Bombyx mori: one gene and its partner. The protein of the gene in region 1 purifies or fractionates together with the protein of each later gene. This does not show direct contact. Links are inferred from orthologs where the notes say so. Each region holds a gene or a part of one and is shown in the gene's direction. Other genes may lie near its edges.

Region 1 (3,171 bases):
CACCTGATAGTGAGTGGTTACTGTCGCTCATGGACGTCAGTAATGACAGGGGCAGAGACAAGCCGCTGCCTACCATTAACTACTCTCCATAAACTTCGTTTGAAGACACTATAGTGCCATATAGTATAGCAGCGTATACTTAGCCAATAATATATAGTACAGTACAGTGTAAACGTGTCCATAACAATGTATGGTGCGAAATATTGTTGTGCTATGAGCTATACTACTATAAACTATATGCTATTATATTATAGCGTAGTCTGAAAGCTGCTTTACCATCACAATGTAGAGTTGTGATTGTGGTGCATAAAATAAAACTGTTCCACTGTTGTTCTTTAATTGTTCTCTCCGAAATATTCTCTGTTATTATAATTGTGGTTTGTTATTTGTCCCTCGCATTCGCAGGATATTTTACTCCCGAACATATAAAAGTCAAACACACCATTTCAACAATATCTATAATGTGTACAATATTAAAATATAAACCAAAAGTAAAGTAAACAACGCTAGGAACTAGAAGTTACAAATTAAAACTAAAATTACGTTTTTACATTCTGATTAAATCGACGCGCGCGAATCTCGTAGCATGACGTCACGGGACACCTGCGCGTTCGGGAACTCCGATCGCATCCGATGACGCCCGAGTGCGACCGAGTGTTGCACGCTACATAATTAAAGATTAACTAACATATTTTTTAAGTCTTGCTAATTTAATCGTCATCGCCATCTTGTCTTACTCTTTTCTTTTTCTTACCGTATTCTCTCACTCACATGTTAACGCTCCGTGCCACACTCATTTTCATGTTTCGTTCTTCTTCATTGTACGATTGACAATAATATTATAAAAAACAAAATTATGATCACGGTCTGAAAATTTTCACCTGTTGTTATGCATCAGCTGCATTGCTGAGACATATAAATAGCTCATCTCCGGTCTCGTGCTAACTTAACGTAGACAACAGCTCAGTCAATCTTTAAATTTAAAATAAAATACGTCAAAGCGTGCCTCGTTGGGTAAGACGTGTTGTGTCGACTGTGTGTTGCTCGAGCTTCTCGTGCTGCACACCTGAGGCATGTCCCGTTGGTTCCAGCCACGACCGCGCCGAGCGAGCCGGAGCCCGAGCGGAGCGCCACCCCGCCCCCCGCCCCCGCGCCGCTCGACGCCGCGCCCGAGCCGGAGCCCGAGCGCGAACCCACTCCGCCGCCACAACCAGGTACGTATACTGTACTTGAAGTGGTACCAATGTTAAACAACCGAACAGGAGCGCTTAACAAAAAAATATGTATATATGTGAATTGAATGCGATAACTTATCGATTCAACAGAAGTTTGACATCCGTAGTAACAAATAATTATTTACTGTTAGCAACCGTCCCTCCGGAACCGAAGACCTACGCGAACCTCCTGAAGTCGGGGTCGAGTCAGGCTCAGCGCGCCATGCCGGCGGTGGTGCCGAGCAGTGCGCCGCCCCGCGCCCCCCGGCCCGCGCCGCCCCCCGGCTTGCCCCCCGCCCCGGAGGCGGCGCGGCGCTACTCGGACGCGCAGCAGCTGTTCCTGGGCAACCTGCCGCCCGGCGCCAGCGAGGACGAGCTGCGCGCGCTGTTCGCGCAGTTCGGGCCCGTCGCCGAGCTGCGCGTGCACGCCAAGAGCGCGCCGCCCGGCCAGCCGCGCCTGCCCAACTACGGCTTCATCACGTACGAGAGCTCGCAGGCCGCCAGCGAGTGCCTGAGCGCGGCGCCGCTGTACTTCCCGCCGGACAGCGCCGACGCCGTCAAGCTCAACGTGGAGGAGAAGAAGGCGCGCGGCCGCGAGCCCCCGCCCCGCGCGCGCCGCCCGCCCTCCTCGGCCCGCGCCCCCCGCCCCGCCTACCGGCGCTAGGCCCCGCCAGCCCCCGCCACCCGCTGCGGACGCGCCCGGTGTACACTCCTGTATGTTACTTATATAACTTGCCTCCCTCACTCACATAAACTATTATACATCTGCCGCAGTTCTATTTTATTTAAAAATCATTACGAAAATTAATTACATTCCTCTCCGTTGAAAGTAATGTTAAAAATTGTATCCCTGTTCACGGTGACGAAGTTCTATGTAATACTCGCCACCAGTAACACTGATCGCATTAAATTCACAAATTTATTCATTTGTAGTTTAAAATTATGAGATAAAAAAGATCTCAGATTGACTTTTTTAACTGCAGACCATAGTTAATTGTTTAGCTGTACGAGGACCGCTCGCCTCGCCGCGCTGATCTGTTGGACTGAACTGTTCATTAAAGATAGATAAAGGAGTTCTGCTTTTGCATTCCACACGAAATGAATTGTAATCCAGTCACACATACAGTTGGTGCCACAATACAATTTCCTTTCTGCAACAGATGAATTAGCTTTTCGTTAGTACGGCAATCTGACAATGGCATTAGCGTAGTCAATGTTAAAAGACTGCCGGCCGGGGAGCCACGCTAGTACGTACAGAAGACCAGGTCTTTTCACAAATTGTAATGTCCGCAGCGGTACTTAATTTCTAATACATTTTTATTTTTACATTAACAACGCTTCGCAATTCGCTTAACATGAATATTTCGTTTAAGTAGTTAGATAGTAAATTAATTTCTTATTTTAATAATTAATTAATAGTAACGGAATTCCGGTGGTGTGACCAATTTGCAAAAAAAAAACAAATTATAGAAGTTGATTAAAATTCTAAACGTTTCTACTGTAGGTACAACGATTTACTGATATGATTTAGTCGTTAACAAAACGTTTTGAAGAATGTACACATTTATGATTTACGAAATTTCGTAAACTGGTCACACCGACGACAATTCGCACTTATCGATTTCTAATTTCCAAGCCTAATAAGGACGGTTGGTTGTAATTAAAAAGAAACATAAATATAGTTTGTTCATATCACTATAGTTTGATTCGTAGTTGGAATTTGTGATATCGTTTGTCTGGTAAATCCTCGAGCACCGCGCAGTGCCCGGGGTGCTCCCTGGCGTCCGGGGCTCCGTGGCGAGTGCGACATGAAGTTCGAGAATATTCTTCCAGTGTCCAAACGTGTCGTGGCCAATGTTACCAATTAAACCGTCGATAATATATATAACAAAAAAATCTATATATGTATTCAAAACAACCCATCGTTCTTCAGCGAGAATAATTCTGTAAAGGCTGT
Region 2 (4,232 bases), on another chromosome or scaffold:
CACATTTGTGCACTTTCAGAGATACTAAACAGTTAAGAAACCACCGTTATTACACATTTAAAGCTGAAGAAACACTAAATAGACAAAATAGAACAAATCGCACAGCTTGACACCTCGCGTTCCCGCCAAAAAGTCCTTCATAGATTACAAATATAACAATTTGTTTTTTTAAATGATTTTATGGCTTGGTAACTGCAGCTTTAAACCAAGTCTATTTTAATGAGATTTTTTAATTAACTTTTTGTAAGAACCGAGAAGCTACGAACGCGAATTTGTTTAATTTTTTCACATTTGTGCATTTTCACAAATGTTAAACAGTTACATTTGTTACACGTTGAAGCCTGAAGAAATGCTAAAGTAACAAAATAAAACAATTCACACAGTTCGCGCTCCCGCCAAATAGGCCCAAATATTTCAAAGGAAGGGAAATGTTCTACTTGTAATATTTAAAACATTTAATATATTGAATTTAGACATAATGCTGGCAATAATGGCATTGAAAGAAACCAATTGGCATACTATGGCATATTAAAAAAGAGAAGAACAAGAACCTTTATCTAAGACCTTTTTAATTAAATACTCATGTACATATTTATTTCATTATTGATTTGGAAACCAGCAATACAAAACAACCATATAATAAATTAGGCATAGGTATAGGTAAAACAAACAAAACACCATTAACAAAATTTAGTTTTAATAATATGTACTAGTTTTAACGTCTGCATAAAATGAGATTTAATGCAATTCAATTAATATGTGGTGTGTAAAATAAAAGTAGCCGTTGTTAATTTCAATTTTAATCTATTTCCTCCTAATTATTAGTAACTATAATAGTACGAAGCTATTTTTGTTCTTCGGAGAATAACAGAAAAAAACGATCTAAATAAAAAAGTCGGAATATTGGAATTATAATCACTTCTTATTTTTTTCAATATTTTGACTCTTCTTGCGATGCTATTGTTACCTTTATAAACACTTAATTCATAAGTACTTTAAAAAACAAGAAGAAGAAACGAGTTAAGAAGATTAGAAATAATGTCACAGTAATATAGTAAGAATATGCTGAGACTTGACTGGGCTTTCTAGTACTTGAGAAGCCATGTCTACCGACTTCTGCCTGACTTGCGCACTTTCACATGCTAAACAGGTATCATTAATAGACTTTTAACCCTGAGGAAATACTAAATGTACAAAACCAAAAAATTCACACCAATTTACTCCTTGCGTTTTCTCTCTCTTTCCCTCTTAAACAAACGACACACGCATTTCGTGTGTGTGTTCATTATTAAACCGAAATAACAAGACATCAAACTGGTGTATTGTTTTTTTGCCTTACGAAATAATCAAAACAAAAAACCTCAACGATCCTGAGCTGAATGGTTAAAGTAGGTATTGCCATATAGCAAAATTCCAAAAAACTTACGACTTGCGTCCTTTTGCTGGGAGTGACAGATAGAAATTTCTATCTCTATCTTCTAACCCACGACGCAATCCAAGAAAAGTTGTTGCCTGTGAAGGATGCCTTCAGCTGCTAATGCAAAATCTGAAAAGCCGGCCTCTTCGGAGGATAAGGATACACCAATTCGACAAATTATGACGATTATTGAGCATAAAATTCGTAATTTGGAAAAACGCAAGGTAAGTAAATACAATGTAAACGATATCAACAAAATGTTTAATGTTCCGGTGTTAGTCGAGTGTTCAATCGTTCTTAAAACTTGCCTTAATTTCGTGTTTTGACCTTTATTTAAATTCGTTCCATAAGCTTATTCCTTAATTGTTTGCTAAATTCATTCAAATACTCTCTTGACGCCATTTTACACATGTGCTTCGCAAAGTTGACGATGAGAACCATGACGCCCTGTTATTTTTGGGAGTAATTTTTTTATTGTCTCTATATTTATTTCAGTAGTTCTTTTAGTAAATGTAATTAGTTATGTTAAAGCGAAAACATTAGCTTTGCTATTAAAAAAAATTTAATTTAGGACTAAAGTATTTTAGTGTTTATATGTTCTAGCTTGTGTAGTATCTTTTGTTGTTAAAACGAGTCCATAGTGAATTTACAGGTTAGGCCCTGTGACAAACTGTTTTGTAGATGAGATATGGATAGAATTGCTAGACTTCTATTGCTATGACAGCAAACTACATTAATATAATAAATCACCTATAAATTGTGATATTATATTGTCTGTTTTATTACTTCTCTTTTCTTATTTTTTTATTTGCAAAAATCACTTCCAAACAATAAATTATACGTCCAGCTTAATTCAAACCAAAATTTCTTTAGAGAATTTTCAATAAATAATGTTTGATTACTTTAGTTTGGTATTTTTCATTTTGTTGTGCTAAAGATTATTTTTCATTTTGTTGTGCTAAAGATGATTTATTACTGAAAATTTTAAGTAACTTATTCTTAATAAATCCAGTTGTTCACTCCTATTATGTTAATACCTTTCATGAATACCCAAAGTGCAATAATATTGGTGGTACCTGTTAATTTTATAGTTAAATTATTCAACAAAACTATGTATACCTATACTTAACCTATATCTAGTATAATATAGTCAAATACAAATGGTTAAAGAATACAGGTAACCTTATAACACTGTATCTCTACAACATGATAACAAATTTTTTGTTTAAAATTATTTAGACAATTAAGTTATGCACTATGAATACACAATCTGAAATATTACTGCTTATTTTTATGTATATTACATAAAATAAAATACATACAGGCATAGTTGAGATGTTTGATTCAGAAAAAAATATTCTCCTTTTTGTATGTACTTGCTTCTAATCTCATATAATATGGGAATTTTTAGGAATGCATCTACCATATTATAGGCAGTTTACCTGTACTGAGAATGAGTATTTGGGGCTATCCATATATGTAAGGAAAACTTTTTTCTTCAATAGACATAAATTTTTCTACACTGTAGTTAAAGTATACATTATTTTTATCATGATAACTAAAAGAGTCAGCAACATTGTTGTTTCTTGGTTTCTTATGTACACCAATATTGGAGAATTTTCAAGATAAATATCAGGGTTTACAAAGTTTTTTTTTACAAGCTTAACACTTGATAATACAATGAAAGAACTAGCTTTCAAGACATACATATACACCAGTGAACTCAATGATTTATCCTATGATTTCAGTTTTGGGCAGTTTACAATATTTAAAGTAATTAAGTACCTCACATTTTATTTCATCAATTGACTTCCAGAAAAAGGAACAAAATCTTTTACAAAGTTAATGAATAAATATGTAACAGGGGACAAACCACACATGGTCATGTAGCTCCAAATTGGGATCACTGTATCATGGCAACCAGAGATAAATGTATATGTTGTAATATATACATGAATAAATATTAGTTTGATCTACAGTTATATATTACGTACTTTAAATTATCCTCATAATATGCTCTATTAAATGCATAAAGTACTTGAAATCAGCTAAATTTTTTAAAATTATAGCAGCAGTTTTTCTATCAACCATTATAATCACTAATGTGATGTCATGATCATTATTGTCACTGATGAAAAAAATAAATTACTTTATTGTTTCAGAGTAAACTAACATCATATCGTGACCTGCAGAAAGCTGGAAAAGAGCTAAATTCTGATCAAAAAGTTGCAGTTGCTAAATATGATGAAGTTGCCCAAACCCTTGAATTTGCAAGAGATCTCTCAAAGCAAGTTACTGCTATAGCAATCTCTTCAGAGCGTGAGGCAAAAAAACAAGCTAAAAAGGTAACTTCATAAAGTTGCTCATTTTTGTAAACCTCCATTCTAAACTATTTCTAAGAAAGTACTACAGTCAGCAACTATACATAAGAGAGAGAGGATTCGTTTTACTACCATCAAATATCATATTCCAAAAGACATTTTTTTTATTCCAACCTCATTTAAAAGCATAATCGTTCTTCTTGAAAGTTTTTAACAGTTCTGTTTTAAATTTAGGAAGCCTGGGTTCGTTATGCAGCAGAGACCAACAAAATAAAAGAAGTTTTACTTATTCTGGATTGCCTTATGCAAATGGGTAGTGCAGATGCAAGGACTGATTTCATAAATGGAACAAATGGTGCTGCTAAATTAACTGAGGATGATTTAAAAATTTTGGATGATTTGTGAGTACAATTCTTAGTTCTAAATATTGTTGTTTTACAGATTTACTTAACTGACTTCAAAAAAAAGGAGATTCTCAATTGGACCATTTTTTC

What was found. The genes of interacting proteins can lie anywhere in the genome.
Region 2: the proteins of ras GTPase-activating protein-binding protein 2 (region 1) and glycosyl-phosphatidyl-inositol-anchored protein purify together in Homo sapiens (affinity purification with mass spectrometry; 5 studies listed by BioGRID and IntAct, with this or other methods). This does not show direct contact. The link is inferred for Bombyx mori from reciprocal best matches to the Homo sapiens genes G3BP2 and CAPRIN1.

What each region holds. Positions count from the first base shown.
Region 1 is NC_085112.1:761,800-764,970, forward strand, and holds part of ras GTPase-activating protein-binding protein 2, read left to right. Parts: intron 1-1,091; coding exon 1,092-1,214; intron 1,215-1,366; coding exon 1,367-1,878; 3' UTR 1,879-3,171.
Region 2 is NC_085119.1:10,436,861-10,441,092, reverse strand, and holds the start of glycosyl-phosphatidyl-inositol-anchored protein, read left to right. Parts: upstream 1-1,422; 5' UTR 1,423-1,521; coding exon 1,522-1,641; intron 1,642-3,579; coding exon 3,580-3,762; intron 3,763-3,972; coding exon 3,973-4,139; intron 4,140-4,232. UniProt on the Homo sapiens protein: mRNA-binding protein that acts as a regulator of mRNAs transport, translation and/or stability, and which is involved in neurogenesis, synaptic plasticity in neurons and cell proliferation and migration in multiple cell types.